3 linked regions of the Astyanax mexicanus genome follow. The protein of the gene in region 2 purifies or fractionates together with the protein of the main gene of each other region. This does not show direct contact. Links are inferred from orthologs where the notes say so. Each region holds a gene or a part of one and is shown on either strand. Other genes may lie near its edges.

Region 1 (7,738 bases), on a different chromosome or scaffold from region 2:
GGTAGTCAGGTAAGATTATACGGTTTGAAAAAAAAAGTTTCTACCTATTGACCCACAATAACAAACAGTTCATACCATCAACATTGTTATAGAAGAGACATGAGCGGGTCGAAACTTTGGCTCGGCACATGTGGACCTGAAATAGCATTATCAAATGCAATGGAAGTTATATTAAGACAATATTTCACTACAGTACCAAAGCAGTGATCTAATTTTATTTTTTTATTGAATTCCAAGTTACTTATGATACGTTGTTATACATATACCTTGATGTGGTTGCTTTCCTGCTTCATTATTTCTTGGTTGATGCAAAGTTGTTCTCTGGACCCCAGAACACAAACCTTTGGCCTATCAATAAGATTAACAAAATGTTTTAAAAAGAGTATGATTAGATTAGATGATTATAGATTATGTCCTTTTTAACAAAAATGCATAGCAGGTCCAGATTAAAATGGTTGGAAATGTATTGCTGTTTGATTCTTTAAAAGGAAAAAAATACTCCAACAAAATTGCTTTTGTTTAAAAGCTGTTGAGAACAAGATCCATACAACCTTCAAGGCACTGACCTGTAAGCTGTGTTCTTCAGCTCACTGACGACTTGCGTTAACTGAGAATGTGTTCTGGATGCATAGATGATTTTGGGTATATCTGTGTAATATGCTGCTCAGAAAACACACACAAAATATGTTTTAAGGATTCCGATATTATTAACCAACGTGCATTCTTATTTAATATTAATAATCCTCAGGATATTTAGATATATTGATGGCATTTGCCAGACACTTAAACATTTTCACAAATGTAGCGTTAGACATCTTGCCTGTATTTATAGAGTTTGTACCTCTGATTCTGAATTATCCCCCATCCTGCACACTTAAGAGTAATCCTGGCTTAATTAGGACATGTTAATTAATGTAATTGGAATGAAACTGGTCCCTGATTATTAGATCAGGTATGCTGGTGTAAAACAGTAAAATGTGCAGTCCAGCACCACTTCATCCCCAAGCAGCTAACTGAATCACATTCCACCATAGGGAGGGCAGCAGTGTTATTCTCGATTCTATACCAACCATCCTTTTATCTATTTTTATTTTTTATTTTAGACACCAAATCAATGCACTAAGGAATGGTTAGCAAACTTGGACTCAAAAAAAATAATTAAAAAAATCTTGCCCTCCCTTTACAAACCTGGGACGTCTCCGTCAGTTGCTGCTGTTCCCCATGAAGACATGGGCCTGTCAGGAAAAAGCTCGGCACCTCCCATCTTCTCTGAAATCTTGCGAGCAGATATGGAGTCCTTGAAGTATTCCCTCCAGCCAAGAGTCGCACAAAGCAGACACAGGGTTTTCCCTGTACCTGTTGGACTTTCAAGGACTCCATTTACCTTCTAATACAGGAAAACAGAACACTTAGAATGTGGACACAGTTTCGTACAGGATGTACTCAGTCATGAAAGTTGATTACATGTTTGAATGCCAAAAGAGCCTCTTTTTCTTCTAACACAATGTTCTGTTATGCACAAATTCACTCCCTGGACAATAAAAAAAAGTCGCCATCTGGATTTAACTAAGTAAATGACCTGGGGTTGATGCTGCAGTTGGTCAGGTCTAGGTTCAGCAACAGTATGTGCTGAAAGAATAAGGTCAGCTGACTACCTGAATATACTGTCCACATATAGGCCCCCAATGGCAAGGTACAACCAAGATCCAGCCCATGTTTAACACCCCCCCTGGTCACATCACTGACATTCATGTGTGTGGCCAGCATGGAACCCATAGACAAAACAAGTTGGTTTATATTTAGTCCCATTACAGTACCTCTCAAATGTTTGCACACAACTTCTTACCCTCCCGTGAAGGAGCATGCAAGGAATCGTGTAGTAACTTAAAAAAAGTGTTAAACAAATCAAAAGACTCATCTGGAATTCTGTTAACTAGCGATTCTGGGGCTGGTATGTTTGATTAACTTATCCTGTGCAACTCTTGCTCGTCCTTACCAGGGGTGGTCCTGATGAGAGCCAGTTCCATCATAATGTTTTTGATGGTCTATGCGACTAAACTTGAAGATATTAATTTCTTTCATTTTTTTTTGATTGAATTTCTTTACTTAGTTGAGTAGTTCTTGCCATAATATTGATTGTACAACATTACTCAAATAGAGCTATTAACTCTATACCAACTCTACCTCTTCATAACACAACTGATGCTTTCAAACACATTAAGAAGCAGAAAATTCAAGAAATGCACTCTAGACAAGTTCAGCACAGCTGTTGACTGAAAGCCATTCTATGTGACTCTACCTCTTAAAGCTGACTGAGAAAATGGAAAGATGTGCAAACCTGTCATCTGAACAAATGTTTCCTAGTTTAAAGAATCCACAATATAAATCCTGTTCTGGTTTGTTTAACACTTTTTTTGTTTATCTTTTTTTCATAGATTGAATGACTTTAGATTTGAGAAAAAGAAACACTGGAGTAACAATCTAAGTGGGAGACAGCCTTAGTTTTTCAGCAGGGAAAAGTATTTAAAGGTTTTAGGTCCACTCCCACATATGCAATAGTATATTTGTATATGCTACAGGATATAACTAACATGTGTGATGAAGATTTAGATGGGACAAAGCTGCTACTGGGACAGGAATGGGAGGGACGTAGACTTCGCAATTCAGCTAACGTTATGCAATGTCAGATCCCGAGTACAGATATCAAGTTAAAAAGAGCAGAGAGGGCACTCACGCTTTGCAGGCATTCAATGACTTTGTTCATGTAATCCGTCTGACATGGATACGGAGTGAAAGGGAAATCCACATTAACTCCTCTTAAAGAGAGAACAGGCATCCTGCAGCCTCGCCGCGGACACCACGACACAGACAGCAGAGGACTGGGCTATAAAGCGCATAGACAGACCCAACTAATCAGCTCCTCTAATAATTAAATAAACAGCAGCTTCACTTTACCCAACTACATAACAACACATCCCCGCAGCGCGCCACAGCTCTTCACCGTCTTCTTTTACGAGCTGCCGAAAAGCCGAAATGCGTTCCTCCTGCCCCCTACAGGTCACACTGCTCTAATGCACAAACACTGATCACTATTTTATTTTCATTATTCTGTAACTCAGTAAATACAAAAATATTACACCAAATAAATAACATAACTACGTTGTTACGGTGTGGCTAAAAATTAATAGACGTCTAATGAAGGAATAATCTAAGTTAGAGGGGTGAGTTAGTATGGTTGTGGACTAGATGAAGTATATACAGTTCTGGGAAAAAATAAGAGACCATTTAAAAAGAATACGTTTCTTTGATTTTACCAAATTAAAAAATTCTGTAATATAATCAAGAAGAACTTAGATGATCAGCCATCAAATCAAGCTGAACTGCCTGAATGTTTGCACCAGGAGTGACATAAAGTTATTCAAAAGCAGTGTGTAAGACTGGTGGAGGAGAACATGCCAAGATGCATGAAAGCTGTGATTGAAAATCAGAGTTATTCCACTAAATATTGATTTCTGAACTCTTAAAACTTTATGAATTTGAACTTGTTTGTCTGAAAGCTCTGCATCTTTTTTTGTTATTTCAGCCATTTCTCATTTTCTGCAAATAAATGCTCTAAATGACAATGCTTTTATTTAATTAGAAATGTTGTCCGTAGTTTATAGAGTAATACAACAATGTTCATTTTACTCAAACATATAGATACCAAAATCAGAAAAACTGAAGTGTTTTTTCCAGAGCTGTATGTACTTTGGTGGCTCTCGGGCAAAAGGAAAACAGGGAAAGGGCTTGGGCAAAAATAATATATTTATAGGAGTCTATAGGAGATGTGGGATGAAAAACCTTTAACTGTGTTTAAGTGTTGAAACAAAAATACAATAAATAATAGAAGTTGTTTGAGGATTGCTAGGTGTTGCTATGGACTAGAGGTACTATGTGATCTAGTTCAGTAGCTGACAGGCAAAAGAAAAGAACAAGGCTTGGGGGGAAATTAATGGGAGTCTATGGGAGAAAAGTGGGATGAAATTTCTAAATAGTAAAAATATAAGACAGTGGAAAAAAAGATGGAAGAGATAAAAAAAACTGCAGGGGTGGAAAGTGGACAAAAATGTGGATTTTTTTCCACTGAATAACTTTAACAATATAATTTTGGAATAAAATTCTTTTAGACCTGTTATTGCTTTAAAACTGAAAAAAAGGATTATAACTATACGGTTATCAATTGGTGAAAGATTGGGCAACAGCCTAAACATCATAAATAACTCCTAAGAATATACTTTTTAGTAAAATCCCCTGAAGTTACAGGTAGATAATACTAAGTTAAAAACTGCATTTAGGTAAAAAGAGGTGCTGCTCTGTCCAGTGGCTTTATTTTCCTGTTCAGTGTTTCGTCACAACATGGCGACTTACTCAGGCGCCAGGGTCGATTTAAACACTGAAAACATTCAGGTATGTGTCTCTTAATACAGCAGGGCTGTGCTGGTTTTGTTTACTCGTGTTTTTAATGGTTAGTGTTTCTGTATGTGTTGCTTTTATCTGTGAATGTAATGGAATACAGAGGTGAAAACGCTGCGTGTGGGTCCTCCTCACTCCTCACAGCACAGGCATTAGTATTTACAGAGGAAGTAGCCGAGCTAACCTGGGTTAGCTTAGCTCAGGCTATCTAGCCCGCTAGCGGATCATACAGGACAACTGAGCTACAGATAGATACACACAGAGAAACAGAGAGAGAGACTCTCTGTTGTTTTCGGTATTAAAGTGAACCCTGTTTGATTCGTGGTGACTGCGACATGTGGGCTATGTTCAGAGTTAATCACGGTTACTACTGTAACCATGTAGGTTATGTATCTACGCATTTGTGAAACATTAGCTTCGAAGCTAAGCTAGCTAGCAAACTAGCTCTGCAGCCAGTGGATTCAGATTTGTTTCCCGCAAACTTTGTGAGCTCGGCTCCTCTAACCTGTATCTCAGTCGCACTCTGGCCTCGGGAAGGTTTTTTGACGTAGAAACAAAGGTAAAATAGCTGAGTCTGCAGTGTCTGGATGGTGTGGATGTTTGGCGTTTCTTTTTAAATGCGCTTTTAGGTATATTTAACAGCACATTTTTAGTATTTCAGCTAAGTTACACGAACCTCGATAACTGATTTTTATAGCCAACAGGTTATTGGTTAGCTGACGCTAGATACTCGTGCACTTGCTCCAAAATTAAGTTCGCCTTAAACAAGCTAAACTAAGTAACCTAACTATTTAGCTAAGCCAGACGGTTTTGGTATGTTTACATGACGTGTAGCTAGTAAGTTACTGAAATTTAAATATGTATAGCCCATCTAACCAACTATTTCTAAACAGCTTTCTATTTCTGTATTTGGTGGTTCGGTTTTAATCTGTCAGACAGCACTGCTCAGTCACTGGCATGCTAGCTAGCTAACTAGTTACTTTCACTTTAAACATGTTAGACGGCTTCGTGTTGATTAACTAATTATTTTAGATGTTTTTTTTTTACACTTTCTCATTAAGTTCCTATTTACCCAGGCTTATTTGTCATTTGTCCCATGTGGTGGCTGTTGGAGCTGTTGCAGTGCAGCACGTGGTGGGCTAATCTAACCCTGTGCCTCTGCCCATGACCCACTCTGCTCACTGTACTGTTTTTTATACACCAAGCTGTTTAAACTCATATATCTGTAATGTAGTTTTTTACTAGTAGAAACTCCTATTTCAGATCTGATTACTTTTAGCTACTACGAATCATCTCTGATCAATCTCAAGTCTATTAAGCCATTCTGACTAGTCATGTTACTAGTAGAACGTATATAATTTATTCATATGTTCCCATTGATTTACATGAAATTTCACTTATCTGTCATTACATTTTAAAAAGCAAAACTTTGTATTAATTTATTGGGGCTGTGTATTGGCAAGCCCTTGGCCATATGTACTTGATTTTGTATGAATGTATTTGGTATATCACAGCTTATTGCCATACCGTATGTATGGCGATTATATTGTGATTGTTTAAATAAAATGTTAGGAATGTTGTCATTCGATTAAAAAACAGAAATATGAGTACAAGTAAAGTTTACTACTTTATGCAGTCATAACATTGGGTTTTAACAACACTGCTATACAGGGGTATGGCTGGGCGATATTGTAAAAATAAATAAATAAAATAAAATACAAAATAATAATATATAAATTATTATTATATCAGTTAATAATATCAATATTTTTCAAATATATGAGCTATATCTTGAATAAGATTTTAGATTTTTAGTTCTTACAAAACTTAAGTTGTTTTATTTGTAAACTGACAGCACTATTTAAAGTGATGAGCAACTATTGTTTTTTTTTTTTTTTTTTTTACAGTTTTTAAAACAAATAGTAAGCAGCCCCCTTTACAGGAGCTTTTGTATTAAACACTGTACAAACATAACCTCCTTGTATTTCAATTAAGGAAAAGTGTAAAATATGAAAAGTCTACTGAACTTTACTCTGCGAGCTTCTTTCAGTCAAAGCAAACCAAGAGAAAAATGCAGGTTTACAAACACTGTCATTTATTTGTACACTAAGAGAAAATGAATTAAACAAAAAATAGTGACTTCACATATAAGTTGTTCATTAGGCAACCATACGTGTGTCCTTTAATGGTATTGCTGCAGTGAACTTTATTTTATTCTTAACTTTGTAAAGGCCATGTTTGGAAAACTTTTGTTAAGCATAGATTCAACTTTTAAAATGGTTAGAATGGACCATTAAATTACCAGACATGGGTTAATAACAACAAAATACAGTTGATACCTTGATCTAGTTGATATTTCAAAAACATCTCAAAAGTAATGTTTCTCTTCCCTTTCTCTATCAGTACGGGGTGAACACCATGGAAAGCACTGGTGTATGTGGGATGGAGGCAGCGACACGTGGAATTGTGGAGGGCAGCAGCTCTCCTCCGTCACAAGATAATCTTGAGGAGTTTAAAGATTTGGTTAACTGCACTGAAGAAGTAAGAGGGGAGACACCTGGGAGAGAAGATTTCCAAATTGACCCCCTCGAAGGAGAACTGGGCCAGAGCAGTGATCAGAGCAAGGAGCAAAACATGTTTGGTAGGTGGTGATTGAGAACTTGGATTTTTCTAAAATCTGATTGGTTTTTCTTATTAATAGTTTACATCAAACATGTAATACTGCAATTTTGTTGCGATAGGGAAAGAAGTCCTGTTACTGATGCAAGCCCTTCACACCTTAGCAACTCCAGAGGAGAAACTTGCTGCTCTTTGCAAGAAGTATGCTGACCTGGTAAGAGTCTATGGCTTTTAAAATACTGCTGCTGTTTGTTAGTAGAGTTTTAATATACGCAACACTGGATACTATAGAATATGTCTAAGTTCCTTATAGACAAGTTAAGAAGGTGGGAGTTCAACTGTACATTAATGGCAGGCATGTGCCACGTGGGGTTCACATAGTCTGTTTAAACTGATCACTTCATCTATCTCTAGTATCAGAATTTTATCTGGATGAGGCCATGAGACAAACAAGTGCAAGTGTAAACACACCCAAGAAGCATTTTAAAAAAGCAACAAATCCAGTTGAGATGCACTTGAGCCACAGTGCAGCTTTGTCAATGACGCATTCAGCAACCAAACCCTTCCCCATGCCTATTTAAAAAAAAAAAAGTCTAGACAGTCGTTTTCTCATCAGCACCGACTGACCTGTGGCCTCCTTTTAAATTTAAGGAAATGCATGACTGGG
Region 2 (7,389 bases):
CAAAGCCATGGAGTTTAGAGGCTGGGACTTTAAGAAGTCCAGCAGTAGCAGACCTAAGGGATCGAGATGGTCTGTAAGGAAGAAGGAGGTTTGACAGATAAGGAGGTGCAAGATTATTTAATGCCTTATAGGTAAGTAAGAGAATCTTGAATTGAATCCTGTATTTAACAGGGAGCCAGTGAAGATTTTGGAGAACAGGTGTAATGTGTTCATGGGTGCGAGTGTGAGTGAGTAAACGGGCAGCTGCGTTTTGTACCATCTGGAGTTTATGGATAGAGGAAGAACTAATGCCAGCAAGCAAGGAGTTACAGTAATCTAGTCTGCTGGAAATGAAAGCATGAAGGAGTTTTTCAGCAGTGGACTGAGTAACGGATCGTGGAATTTTAGCTATTCTGCGCAGATGAAAGAATGCAGTTTTCACCACAGAGTTGATGTGAGCTGTAAAAGAGAGAGTGGAATCCACTTAGTGGCAAAGCCTTTGTTTGCAAGCACAGCGGTGAGTCGTTTGTTGTAGAAATCTCTCAGCGTCCACTTAGATGTGTGGTGTGAAATACTGAAAGACACTCGCCGAGCCGTCACAAAGTGATCGCTGACGAGTCGCAGACACCTGGCAAATATTTGGCATGCTACATATGTGGTCCAGTTGCCGACTGGGAGTCAAGAGCAGAAGGAGAAAACCACCAGAACCACTTACAGAGCCTGATCAGTTTCTGTTTCCCCTGTTAAATTAAAACTCTACATATACATACATATATATACACACACACACACACACACACATATATATACACACATACATACATATACACAGGTATGTGTGTGTGTGTGATTGAGGTCATATACCATTTTAAACAAAAATATGAAGCTACTTACTGCTCAGCCGCACTATCGCTCAAACTTTCAGACGCCTGTCTCTGCAAGGCCTGCAGAAGCTCAGCTGGAGACACGCCCATGCTGGCGGAGCAGCGCTTCAAGTGAGTGGAACGACTCTTTTCAGACTTAAAGCCACGCCCACAAATTGGGCACTCTGGAACTCGAGGCTGGAGTGCAGATGCAGGAGCAGCAGGAGCTTCAGAGATTTTTTCAGAGGAGCTCTCACTCTCATCCAAACACCTGAATCAAGGAGATGAAGGAGAGCATAAGAGTATGCTGTGCCACACAGGGATAACAAAGGAAAATACCAATTTGTTAGCAAAGTATTACAATATTGAGTTTTGTAATATTGTGCCAATTAGGGGTGTGCTGTATTATACTCAATAATATCGCCAACATATTTGAATATTGTGAATGATATTATACTCTGAAATATCACCACTTTTTGCTATTTTTAAGAAAAGGGAATTCACACTGTACGAATTTGTCTACTAGAGACAGATTATATCTGTCCAGTATAATTTATTTTACTTTACTCCTGGATTTATGGAGATCTTTGGAGTGCATTATTATTATAATTGACTCCTGTTACAAATATGATCTGGCTGTGTAGTGTACTATACTGGAGTACACTGTACACTGGAGGAATATGACTTTATCTAAGATATGTATGCCATCCTGGACGAGTGAGGATCACCAGTTGTAGCCAGTTTAAAGAATCTGCCACAGTAGTATTGTTTCAGTGTAGTTAGTGCTAGCCTGCTGCAGTACCTGTTGATATGCTGAGTGCGTAGCTGAGGGCTCATAGCTGACAGGTCTTTGTAGCAGAGCTGGCACAAGAACAAGCCTTTACCCTCTGTGTCCACCACAGCCTGGGTCTCAGCCTCATGATCCAGCTGCTGCTGGAGCCTCCGAGCCAGTGCTTCATCACTTTCAGTTTCTTCTTTGAGCTCTGACAAACACAAATATTTAAATGTATGGCATTTAGTAGATGCTCTTCCACCAGCAATACAAGTTGCAACAAGATTTAATAGTTACGAAATAGTTGGCATCACCATATTGTTTCCATATAGTTGTTCAGCTTTGCAGAGCTATTTTTTACATAAAAATGTTAACTGTTACACCTGCATGACCAAGGCTGCTGATCAGTATGACCAACATGCATGCCAGCATATCCAATCGTGACCACATTTAACATACACAACGCTAGTCAACAACTGGTTAACCAGCAAGTTCGCCAGTACAGTGTAGCTATTTCCACCTGGATCACCAGCTTTTCAAGTACCTTTACCATCAAAGACCAGTGTAGACCAGCAGAAGCTGCTTATGAGCAGGGAACCATCATACAGTAGAAAGTCACATACTGTAGAACATAACAGATGATTGTGAGTGTATTACTACCTCGTCTGGGTGGTGATACTGTCTCCCCCCGATGTTCCTCTGCCTCCACATGGAGAAGCCGGGGAGGACTCTCTCTCCTAAAGCGCTCCATCCTCCGGAGCACCTTCTCCTTCACGCTGAGAAAGGAGGCTCCATCTGCCGGACAGACAGGCTGCGACCTGCCCGCTGCCTGGCTCTGGAGCTGCCCGTTCTTCTGCCTCTTCCTCCTGGGGGGAGCTCTGCTCTGAGAGGGACCTGCAGCTTCATCTGGAGCTGCGACTGGTTTCTTCTCATCCCCAGAATCTTTCCGTTTCACCCTCTTGAGGAGCCGAGAGCAGAGATCAGAGAACTCCTGGTCCGAGTCGTCCATGGCCGCCAGGTAGAGAACAACATCTCCCAGAGGTTCGGATCAGATCAGCATGGTGACCAGTAGCTTCTTCAGTTTACTGTCCTAACCAACCAACCAAGTAACGTTTAACTAACGTTACCCAGTGTCTCTATCAGCTATCAGCTCCTTACCACAACAACTCCAGCTAACAACTACTTTAGCTATATTTCTTCACAGAAATCACATTAAACCCCACTAACATCTCGTGTGGGTGGGACTACACTAACCGCACTGAAAGCGGTGGCTGTTTTTAGTCTAAAAGCCGTGTTTTAATCTCTCTAAATCAGTCTAGTTAGCCTGCTAGCCTCTAGCTAACCTACGTTCAAAATTCTCCACCACAACCGCCTCTCCCACGTACAGTGACGTATTCGCGCTCACGCCGGGTTGCGCAGGGGCTTGTGGGATTTGTAGTTAGTTCATCTACAAACACACGCTGCTGTTTATGGCAGGAAATAATCTCAAACAAAGAGAAATACCCATAAAAGAATCTTTTAGGGGTTTGTTGAACCACCAGTATACGCACGATCCTGAGTGATAAATGCATTTCAGCACAATCAGATTTTATATATGTGCTTAATATATGTGTTTAATCATTTTCATTCTGAAAAATGTACTAATTTCTTCAACACAATATTTATGTTCTTATGGAACCATGGTACATGGAACAACGAATATTATAGCAGACATACCAGATTGCAAATCTGTGGGGCGGGGGTCTGATACAGTTTTGTTTTGTGTGTGTGTAAGTGTATGAGGAGTGATGGGGTGTCATTTCAGTCCCTGTGTGTGTGTGAAGAGTGTTGGGTGGGTTTACTACAGTTCTTGTATGTGTGTGTGAATAGTGGTGGAGATTCAGTTCAGTTCTGTGTGAGTGTGTTGGGTGTGTGGTTGGGGGTGGGTTCAGCTCTGTCTCTGTGTGCTGAGGAGTCTGACTGCCTGGTGGATGAAGCGGTTGCAGAGTCTGGTAGTGGAGGCTCGGATGCTCCTGTCTCTTCTGCCAGATCTTGTCAGCTGTGCTCACTATCCGCTGTAGGGTCTTGAGGTCTGAGGTGTTGCAGTTCCCAAACCAGACGGTAATGCAGGTGCTTAAGATGCTTTCTACACTCCCTCTGGTAATGATGGGAGGTGGAAGATGTGCTTTTCTCAGTCTTTGCTGGAAGTGGAGGTCCTGCTGGGTTTTCTTGGTTATGGTGCTGATGTTGAGGGACCAGGTGAGGTTATTGTTTGTATTATTTTAAATGTTTAGACCTAAAGACACTCACAGGAGCGTACAAGATAGTAGCTACAGGGGTATGAAAAAGTTTGGGCACCCCTGATAATTTGTCAGATCGGTAATTTCAGTTAAATATATCATATATCAGATGAACATAGTGATATTTGAGAAGTGAAATTAAGTTTATAAGATTTATAGAAAGTGTGCAATAATTCTTTAAACAAAATAAGGCAAGTGCATAAATTTGTGAATTGACAATATTAGAAACAGGTGGATTTGTCCCCCCCAAAATGATATTGTTTCGCTCAGCTCAGCTGTACTATTAATGAGGAGACAGACCGATCACGGAGCCGGTTCAGGTATTAAGTCCCGCCTCCCAGTAGAAACAGCCAATCAGCTTGCTGACGGGGGAAGCCCCTCCCTGGCTGTGAGATTTAGCAGCGGGATCGGGCTGCAGCAGCTTCAGCTGATTTTAAAACAGATCTGGATATACGGAGATTTTTCTAACAGAAAGGTAACGGAGCTAATCATGTCAACTGTAAACCCACAGTGATTAATAAACTGCAGCTGTGTGAGTCAGTTATCTTAAATTTGGAATTAGTTAGAGTGGGAGTCAAGGTTAAAGAAAAAAAAATATATATATATGTAATGTTCAACTTGCCCTGTACCTGATCAGCTAATCATTATTACATTTTCCAACTGTGTTTATTAATTTAGGATTACAGGATATACTGTGAGCTATAATGAAAGAAATGTAATTTAACTAACTAGTAATCTAGAAGCTGCATGTAGTAGATAGTCAGAATTTAATAAAGTACTTTATGTTTGTAGTTTAAAGCAGTTTCTTAACCCCGATCACTGCCCCAAAACTGTGTTTTCCACCTGGTCCAGCTGATCAGCTAATAAACAGTCATTTACTGAGTTTACCTGTTAAAATCTTTAAGCCCACTATGGAGCCTGTATTAATCATGTATATTAGCAGTGTTTTAGACACATCATACCACCACTTACTTTATTAAGTTCCTTTAAAGCAGAGGAAGCTCTGATATGCAGAACAGTGTTAATATTCAGTAGAATATGTAAGAACAGGGTTGAGAAACACTGCTGTAACGTGACTTCTGTTCATTTGTAGTTCACAGTAAGACCACATGTCCTGACGTTTATAAAAATCTCTATGAAACGTAAAGTTACATTCTTTTACATAAAATGTCACCATCTTAAGAAGAGCTCTCAGTAGATAAATAAAAGCACAGGAGAAAATTTAAATATACAACAGAATTGACATGCCAATACATAATAATAATAATAATAATAATAATAATAATAATAATAATAAACAAATCTGTTATATTATTTTAAATATTAGGTGATAACTGAACATTTTTGTCATATGTATATAATTCAGTCATTGCATGCATAATTTTTCTAACAACAGTAACTGTAACGTTACTGTTACACTGAGTAACATGTTAAGGTTGTAAAATCACCTTATAATAATAATTTACTTTTAATTAAAAGTATTTCCACAAATGTTGTTCTAGGAAACTATAGGGTGGGCTTGGGTTCATATTGGCAAATGTGTCCCCCCCCAATATCAAGCCCGCTCCTACACCCTTGGCATAGTTGTCTTGTTAAAGTATCCAGCCCCAGCGCAACTTCAACTTTCTCACTGATTAAACACAGTTCTCAGGAATCTGCTGATATTGACTGAAATCCATGAGACTCTAAACTTTAACAAGATTCTCAGTAGCTGCACTGATCACACAGCCCCACAGCACGATGAACCACCACCACGTTTTACTGTGAGGAGCAGTAGAGTGTTGTTCTTGGAATGTTGTGTTCTTTTCCAACACTTTTAGTGTCATCAGTCCACAGCTCTATCTTCCAAAATGATCAGCAATCAATCGTCATGTGTGACTATAGGTGTGTCCCAATTCAGGGGCTGTATCCTTCTAAGGACGCGGTCTACGAAAGTGTGTCCTTCGTAGGATGGGTAGGCTGCAGCGGCTCTACTGAAATGGGACAGTCTAAGCTATGGAGTTTTTCCTGTTTCCTGTTTGAGATTCTACAGGTCCTTCTCAAAAAATTAGCTTATTGTGATAAAGTTCATTATTTTCTGTAATGTACTGATAAACATTAGACTTTCATATATTTTAGATTCATTACACACAACTGAAGTAGTTCAAGCCTTTTATTGTTTTAATATTGATGATTTTGGCAAAAAAGTAAAGAAAAAATTAGCCTATTTCATCCGACCAATAAAAGAAAAGTGTTTTTAAAACAAAAAAAGTCAACCTTCAAATAGATATGTTCAGTTATGCAATCAGCCTGTGGCACAGCTGAGGTGTTCTGGAGGCCCAGGATGCTTCTATAGCGGCGTTAAGCTCATCCAGAGTGTCGAGTCTCACGTCTCTCAACTTTCTCTTCACAATATCCCACAGATTCTCTATGGGCTTCAGGTCAGGAGTGTTAGCAGGCCAATTGAGCACAGTAATACCATTTACCAGTGGTTTTGGCCCTGTGAGCAGGTGCCAGGTCCTGCTGAAAAATTAATTCTTGATCTCAGCAGATGGAAGCATGAAGTGCTCCAAAATCTCCTGATAGCTGCATTGACCCTGCCCTTGATAAAACACAGTGGACCAACACCAGCAGCTGACATGGCACCCCACACCATCACTGACTGTGGGTACTTGACACTGGGCTTCAGGCATTTTGGCATTTCCTTCTCCCCAGTCTTCCTCCAGACTCTGGCACCTTAATTACTCTGGTACTTTGGAGCACTGAGCAACAGCTGCTTCTCTGTAGTCCAGGCGCTTCTGCCGCTGTTTCTGGTTCAAAAGTGTCTTGATCTGGGGAATGCAGCACCTGTAGCCCATTTCCTGCACACGCCTGTGCACGGTGGCTCTGGATGTTTCTACTCCAGACTCAGTCCACTGCTTCCGCAGGTCCCCAAGGTCTGGAATCGACTCTTCTCCACAATCTTCCTCAGGGTCCGCTCACCTCTTCTCGTTGTGCAGCGTTTTTTGCCACACTTTTCCTTCCCACAGACTTCCCACTGAGTTGCCTTTATACAGCACTCTGGGAACAGACTATTCGTTCAGAAATCTCTTTCTGTGTCTTACCCTTTTGCTTGAGGGCGTCAGTGATGGCCTTCTGGACAGCAGTCAGGTCGGCAGTTTTTAGTAATGAACCAGGCTGGGAGTTTTTAAAAGCCTCAGGAATCTTTTGCAGGTGTTTAGGGTTAATTCGTTGATTCAGATGATTAGGTTAATAGCTCGTTTAGATAACCTTTTTATGATATGCTCATTTTGTGAGATAGGAATTTGGGGTTTTCATGAGCTGTATGCCGAAATCATCAGTATTAAAACAATAAAAGACCTGAAATATTTCAGTTGGTGTGCAGTTGGTGAATCTAAAATATATGAAAGTTTAATTTTTATCATTTTCATTTCCGCTAGAGGGAGCCCTCCCCCTCCTCTCTCCCTGTTGTAGCTGTGATGTATCAGCGCGAGTTTTACATATTGTACATACTAAG
Region 3 (7,495 bases), on a different chromosome or scaffold from region 2:
CTCTTTGCGCTCCACTGTGGACAGACCAGTTACACATACTGTGCAGCCTTTAAAGACAGGACAAAGGTAGTCCTCTACACGCAGGTCTGAATACCGAAACATACTGAGGAAAAGAAGAAAAACAAGAGAACCAAAATGTTTACCGCCTTTTGAGGTGAGTTTTTGAGTTTATACAGGTCATAAAAGCATGAAGACGAATAGAGTCCTACCTGTCTTGAGACTTTTCCCAGCATGCCTTCACCCAGGTGGGCAGTAAGACAGGTTTCCCCAGGTTGGCTGCCACAAGATATTTCTTACTGCCCACTTCACCTGCCACCAGGTGAGTGACTGATACATTAAGGTCTCTGTAAACCCTTCCTCCCATGAGCTGAACCAAGTCCATGACGTCTGTCTACAGGACAGACACAAATGTGGTGTAAACATTTCGTTAGATTCTAATTACTACTTATGTTAAAGACATATTTGACCCAGCTTGTGAATTTGGTTCATTGCTTACCCGTACTTCTTTGTCCAGGCTGGTACAGGTCACTGTCACATCAGCCATGGCCATGTTGTAGACAGGTTGCTCTGCCTTGGGCACACACCTCTGCTGCTGCAGACAAAAAAGCACTACCAGAGGACTGACTATCCTGCATCCCAACTGTAGTGCACACAGGGAAAAACACAGAACAGGTATAAAGACAGACTACCAGCAGTGTCATGCCAGTAGCGTTATATATGATGCTAGTGACCATGTAGAAATAGCACTACTTGTGGAAGACAAAATAATTTTGAATGAAAGACAAATTCAGAACATAAATCTAGGTAACTAATTTTATTCATAAATATACATAACAGATTACAAATGTAACATTGTTTTTATTTGTATGCAGTGATGAAAAATATCACAATATCGTTTTGTACATTTGCAGTATATTGTATTGTATTTTAAACACAACTAAATTGTGTCCCTCCAAAATACATCATAGTTACATAAAGGATCTTTCAAACGTGAGGAAAAAGATAAGAGTTAATAACAAAGAATTAAATCTTAGTACTGCATTCATAGAGCTGCAACAGAGCTTTATTGCTTAGTAAAAAAAAAAAATGTTTGAACTTTAGTGTATATGTTAGCTGCTCCATCTAATAGACATTCCATATCATTTGTATCCATAAGCTATCGTTTGGGGGGTAATATTTTTGAACATACCTTTCGACAGTGCTCAAATGCACTGCTGGTAAAGTCGCTGAAAACATATAAGGATTTGTCATTGTGATCCAACTTCAGGGCTGCTTCTTCACCAATGGTCTGCACATATTTCTCTGACTGCAATTCCACTATCGCCTTAACATACAAAAAAGAAAAATATATATTTTAATGATATAATGCCAGCAGTTATAGGGTATTCAATAACCATGTTATTAGTGGAGGACTAATAGTTTGTCAGAAACATTTGGTTTCCATTATGATGAATATTTACTGTACCTCATAAGCTTTTTGACCAAGCTCACGTTTCTGCCCATTGTGTTCAACAAACTTTACCATAAAAGCATCCTGGCTCCTTTTGGACATTCTGGCTTCTATTGTTTAAAAAAAAAAGAAAATACTGAATTACTACATTTCAAAAAGATCTCACAGAACAACAAGATCTCACTGATAACTTGACTAATGTATCTCAATTCCATACAAAAGATAACTTGTTGCTTCAAAATAAAGTAACTAACTTTTATCGTACATAAAGTAAAATATTTTATTCCACCATTTATACTGGTCTATTCATTACAGGATCCCTAAAATATCAAGGTAGAAACATTAACATTTGGAGTAGAGGTGTGCCTTATAATATTTGACCTTATAATATTGTAAACAAGATATCATGCCAGAATAAAATTGTAAATAATAAAAATCCATGACAATAGGGGTTTTCTGTCTTGAAAACCTTTTAAAATTAGTTTTCGTTTCTTAGTAAGTTACTGATGTTTACAAAATATACAAAGGTTTCAGATTTATTTTGTTTTGTTTCTACTGAATGTCTGAAATTGTTGACAAGCCATTCTAGGTGACTACACCTAGGTTTTAAACTGTGGCCTATGTTATGGAGCACTGTCACATCGCAACAGGTCCAGCAGCTATAAATCATGCAGTATTAAACTTTTTTCACTTAGTTAACTAGCTAACCAAACTAACTAATTAGCTGTTATTAGGCAAGAAGTCTTGCTAGGTTACTATAAAAATATATTAAATACACAACAGATAGTTAGCGTTAGCTAGTTAACCTAGTTAGCTCACCTAGCTAAGTTACATATTCAGCTATTTAGTATCAATTGTTTATAGGTTAGCTAGCAGTAAGCAGGCTAGCATGAAGAGTACAGATTCTACAGAGCTTTTTTGCATTTCACATTTATGTCCAAAATGTCATAAGAAATACGTGTTAATTAAAGTTAACACTTAGGTTCATTAGTGTCAGTCAGGTCTAAACTGTTAACATAGTTAGCAAAGTAAACTTAGCTTACCTTAAATTAGGTTACTAGCTAAAGCTAGCTTAGCAACGGTCACCAGCTTTCACTGGATCAGCAGTCAGATCCACTAACTAGCTAAATAGATAGCTAGTTAACTAGCTAACGAGCTTATTATCTAAGTAATCTGAAACTGAACATTGTAGTTTAGGTTCAGCCAGCAAACAGACGGATACCAGCTGCTAAACGCCTCAGTTTTGCTGAAATATCATTATCTAATGATGTTTCCTCAGAGAGAGCTCGAGCTCCTGTAGTCCTCCAGTCAGCAGAGCCGTTACCGCTGAACTACTCATCCCCACAGCACACAGATATTAACGGATAAAACAGGCGAATAGAGACGAATCCCCAACTCTAAACGCTTCGTTATCTCTCTACAGCCTGACGGAGGAGCCTTCGCGCCATCCAGTCAACTTACAAAACGTCCGGCAGTTCTTCTACTCGGAGCTGTTGTTGTTTTCAGCAGATCCACTGCTCTGGATTTACCGCCCCCGGACGACGCGGAGCTGAAACACACAGCCGCTGTTTCAGAGGTAAATTACAAACATTGGAGGTTATATCTGATGTTCTGAAGTTTGTAGACTCTTCTTGAACGTTTCTTCTGACATTCAATGTAATAATTGTGAGTTTGCGACCCCCGTGATGCATCAACAGGGACTCACAAACAACCCTAATCATATGATTTTATATTCCAGCTTTACAAAAGATATAGATACCCAATTATGCCAAAATACACTTTGTGGTCAAAAACAACATGGACACCAATTCTCAGTATAATGGTACGGTCAGGCCCATTGTTTAAAATCTAGAATTTATTAGTGAATATTTGAACAAATAATCTCTAAAAACAGAATGACACAAAATGTCACTTGAAAAAAAAAAGAAATCCACAAAACATTTGATGTTAAATAGGACCGGTTTAGGCAGATAAAAACCTGGAAAACGGAATACTATCAGAAACGGAATTTCCACAGCCTTTTACCAGCATACCTCAATTTAACTACTAGTTTGACAACTAGCTAACTTAACTAATGTTAATACCCACTAATATATTTAGCTATTTTAGCTGGCTAGTTTAGCTAGCTAAACGTACATTAGATGTACAATAATATTGAAATCTCCTAAAATTTAAATGTTGAATGAATATAAATTAATATAATAATATGTCGCTATATTTAGGATAATTTTACTACAGATGTTCAAATTCACAGCTCGCCAACTATACCTTAGAAAGCAGTGATAAAGAAGATGAATGCGCTTATTCACCAAAATGTACTTTTTCGATAAAGCAAGACTACAGAACGGTTTATTTTATTAAAAAATGTTAAATCTGCTGTAGATTTACATATATTTTCTACAGTAATGTATTAATCAACATTAAATCATTTAATTTCATCAACTATTTTACAGTTAGTTAGTTAGTTATTACCATTAAACCACTAGACACTAGACATAGAGTCTTTTTTTATAATATTGTAGCTGTTACAATATTTACACAGGTGTTGAAGGTGGTAAATGTTGTGTCGCTGTACAGAGTTTTCTGAAATGTTCAGTATACCCAAACCATGCAGCATTTAAGCTAAATGAACATATCCTGGTTATCACATGAATCACACAAAAAACATTAGAAAAGCCTGCAGTTTAATACAGTAACAGTATAAAGCTGATTAGCAGCATCAATAACAATATTACTTATAGCATAGCTGTTTCAATTTCATTCAAATACTATGTAACAATTAATTTATCAGCGTTTACTCTGAACACATTAACACACATATAGAGGAATATTAAACTTCACTTTAAAGGACTTATTATACATTTTACACAGTTTTCTTTGATGTGAGGGGTGCAGTTGAATAAAAACGGTTTGATAATTTAGGCATTTATGTGACTGCTTGCCTGTAGAATTAGTAGGGCAGTTTTGACCTCAGTGTGGCTATGTAGAACATGTACACCCAGGATGAAACTAGATAGAAAGGACTGGTGGAGGCAGGATGTCTTGTTTTTTTCTCTGGCCTTTCTTGAGCTTGCACATAAACACAGATAATCCCTTTGGTGATTATCATGCTTCTGCAACTGCATATGGTTCTCTCCTGCATTATATGCAAGCTCCTCTGGGGCTACTAATAAACATTTACATGAACAGTCTGTAAAACAGCTCTGTTTTGATACACACAAATTTCTGCAAAAAATAAATAAAACTCATAGCTTAATATTAGCATTTATTATACGTGATTAAAAAATGTTCATACGTTTTTTATAACATGACAGAAAATACACTTAGTTTATGATAAACACGACCACAACATATCACACAAATAATCCATTTGGTCCTTATTATGCTTCTGCAACTGCACATGAACCTCTAAGTGTAAGAAACAGGCTTATTCTCCAACATGTAGCATTTGGCACCAAAACTGTCATAGCCTGATGCTTTAAACTGAACCTGGGCAGAAATAATTCTATATGGGACAAAATATTCACCAATATCCGCTAAAAATACATAGAGGTGACTAGAACTGATATGAAAACTAATTTTTCCATTAACTTGTCTCAAAATAACATATATCCTTGTAAAATACCACTTATTCACAGAGCTTATCTGCTATGCTTACCTCCAGCATCATATGAAAGCTCCTTTGAAGATAAATGAAAACAAAACATAAAACAAACAAAAAAACATGCAGTTGCATTGTTAGTGCAGGGAACAGTAGAATAATGTATAATATGATAATTTTGTAAGAAATCATTTCAAAGAACATAATATTTTATATAATTCCTTTTAGTTATGTCTGTTTAACTCCATTACACCCTCCCCCACTGAATTCTGACAAAATTGTGTACATACCATGGAAGGTAATACGTCAAAATACTTGGTTTGTGTTCCAAGAGTCATAAAAAAGACTTATACATATCTAGCAAAGATGAAGTAGAAAAGTGTGACTTCGAGCTCTTCAACCAGCTACCAGTTGTAGAATGCCTCGTACATTCCATGCTAACCCAAAACCTTCGACTTTTGATTCAAATAGGGCATTTCCCTAACTCTAACTCCTCACAACACAACTAATGCTTTCAAACATATTAAGAGGGGAAGAAATTTGAGTAATTAACTTTTGACAAGGCACAACTTAAAGCCATTCCATGTGACTACCTGAGAAATCTGACTGAAAAGATGTGCAAATCTGTTATCTAAGCAAGAGGTGCCTACTTTGAAGTATTTAAAGTATAAAACATATTCTGGTTTGTTTAACACATTTTCTGTTTATTGTTTACTAAATTATTTTATTTGTTTTTTCTTCATAGTTTGGATAACTTTAGTATTAATCTACAAAGAAAACAATGTTATGAATAATTAAAAAACACTTAATTTAAAGGTGTGTTCAAACTTTTGACTGGTACTGTATATATGTTTTCATACTCATCTTACAATCAATAATATTTTAGCTAAATTTATACTCAGCTCATGACTTAATTTGATACACAGCAGCATCTAGGCTAAGCTGCATGATAACACTGACTAACGGGAGACCTGAACCTGAACTCTGGTTATAGTTTACTGTCTCTAGATTCACACTCGTGTTCATCGACGTGCTTACACACCTCATAGCCCCCCCATGTGACGCGCGTGCGTCCTTTAAAGCCCATCCGCCCTTTGCGCGCTCCTGTGCCAGAGACGGGGGCGCGCCTCAGTGTTTCTGACCGGCATGGAGCTGCAGCAGCAGGTTACAGTGTGAAGCTGCTCCAGCGGTGGAGTAGTGTTTTATTCATTCTGTAGATAAAGCACGCGGTGCTGTAGCCTCGTGTAGACAGAGCAGTTCTGCGTTTTTATGTTCAGGATGCTTTTTTCTGCTTTGTTTTGTTGTTTTTTTTCACTGGAGGAGCTTTGAGATGAATTGATTATCAGCGATAAAGTTCTGCAGCGACAGAATTAGATTAATTAGATTTCACCGCTGTTTTTTGTCGCTGTGTGAGGTGTACCCTGCGTTAATTCTGAGTTTTGTTGAGTTTATTTCTCTCACTGCTGGAAGGTAATATCTCTCTATAGGATTTTAACATGGGGAGCACTGCTATGGACTCTAAGACTAAAGACGGGGGGAAGAAAAGTACCCGAAAGAGGAGGACCCTGCGCTTAAACATGCCGGTAAGTCAGAGCGGTCACTCGTTCACGGACATTGTTTTAGTGATGAGCGTTTGATCCACACCGCCAGCCAATCACAGCGCAGCTCTGCAGCGCAGTTCCAGCATGTGGGTGGGGCTCGGTGAAGCGCGCGGCATATATAACACCTACATTCCACCGCGCTCCGTGCTTTCCCCACCCGTATTCGTGCAAGCTCCGCCCCTCGCAAGGTGATTGGCTAGTAGTTCATAGTAACTATAAACTATGAACCTACCTAGCTTCTAAATTATTGACTAGCACCCAAAACAATATTAGTAATGTAAGTGTAGTAGACATTTTTTTTTTCAAATTAAACTTGTACAGAGCATGCACAAAAAATAGAGACAGCACAGGAAAAACTTGGTAAAGTTTTTACAAATTACCATGCCACACTCAGCCTTATTCCATCCTTTCCATACCCAGCCCTTCACATATCCACCTCAGACACTGAACTGGACTTCACTGCACTTGTTCAAGCCTAAAACAGTCTACAATTTGTCTAACTGAACAAGAAAAAAAAACAGAAAATAAGGCAATTAGACTACAAACCAAATAGCAATAGAACTTTGTATAAAGTGAATATAATGCTGGTTTTACGGCAGAGACATTTTGTTCAAAATTGTTAATGTAAATGTTGATTAAATACACTGTCTGGCCAAAAACACTTTTCACACTGGGTGGCAGTTCTTGTGAGATTAGTGACATTTCAGTTTGGAGAAGCACAGGAGTTTTTTTTTTTTATTGTAATATAATACAGGAAATTTATGGGAAAATACTAATATGGGAGGACAACGGGAAAAAGGGGTAAAGACATGACATGACGCCTAAGCGGAAGACATGACATGT

The links. The genes of interacting proteins can lie anywhere in the genome.
Region 1: the proteins of slx4 (region 2) and rtel1 purify together in Homo sapiens (affinity purification with mass spectrometry; 3 studies listed by BioGRID, with this or other methods). This does not show direct contact. The link is inferred for Astyanax mexicanus from reciprocal best matches to the Homo sapiens genes SLX4 and RTEL1.
Region 3: the proteins of slx4 (region 2) and topbp1 purify together in Homo sapiens (affinity purification with mass spectrometry; 3 studies listed by BioGRID, with this or other methods). This does not show direct contact. The link is inferred for Astyanax mexicanus from reciprocal best matches to the Homo sapiens genes SLX4 and TOPBP1.

Annotation. Positions count from the first base shown.
Region 1 is NC_064423.1:17,392,277-17,400,014, reverse strand, and holds the start of rtel1 (regulator of telomere elongation helicase 1), read right to left. Parts: upstream 3,015-7,738; 5' UTR 2,837-3,014; coding exon 2,735-2,836; intron 1,388-2,734; coding exon 1,189-1,387; intron 661-1,188; coding exon 567-660; intron 349-566; coding exon 267-348; intron 137-266; coding exon 76-136; intron 1-75. Other genes in the region: txlng (gamma-taxilin), read left to right, coding at 4,396-4,446, 6,856-7,093, 7,194-7,285. UniProt on the Homo sapiens protein: A probable ATP-dependent DNA helicase implicated in telomere-length regulation, DNA repair and the maintenance of genomic stability. Acts as an anti-recombinase to counteract toxic recombination and limit crossover during meiosis.
Region 2 is NW_026040046.1:1,762,956-1,770,344, reverse strand, and holds the start of slx4 (structure-specific endonuclease subunit SLX4), read right to left. Parts: upstream 3,009-7,389; 5' UTR 2,624-3,008; coding exon 2,275-2,623; intron 1,826-2,274; coding exon 1,645-1,825; intron 1,114-1,644; coding exon 874-1,113; intron 1-873. UniProt on the Homo sapiens protein: Regulatory subunit that interacts with and increases the activity of different structure-specific endonucleases.
Region 3 is NC_064408.1:103,079,252-103,086,746, reverse strand, and holds the start of topbp1 (DNA topoisomerase 2-binding protein 1), read right to left. Parts: upstream 3,015-7,495; 5' UTR 2,912-3,014; exon of another isoform or gene 2,494-2,911; intron 1,561-2,493; 5' UTR 1,553-1,560; coding exon 1,466-1,552; intron 1,325-1,465; coding exon 1,190-1,324; intron 641-1,189; coding exon 497-640; intron 392-496; coding exon 210-391; intron 104-209; coding exon 1-103. Other genes in the region: prkag2a (5'-AMP-activated protein kinase subunit gamma-2a), read left to right, coding at 6,548-6,634. UniProt on the Homo sapiens protein: Scaffold protein that acts as a key protein-protein adapter in DNA replication and DNA repair. Composed of multiple BRCT domains, which specifically recognize and bind phosphorylated proteins, bringing proteins together into functional combinations.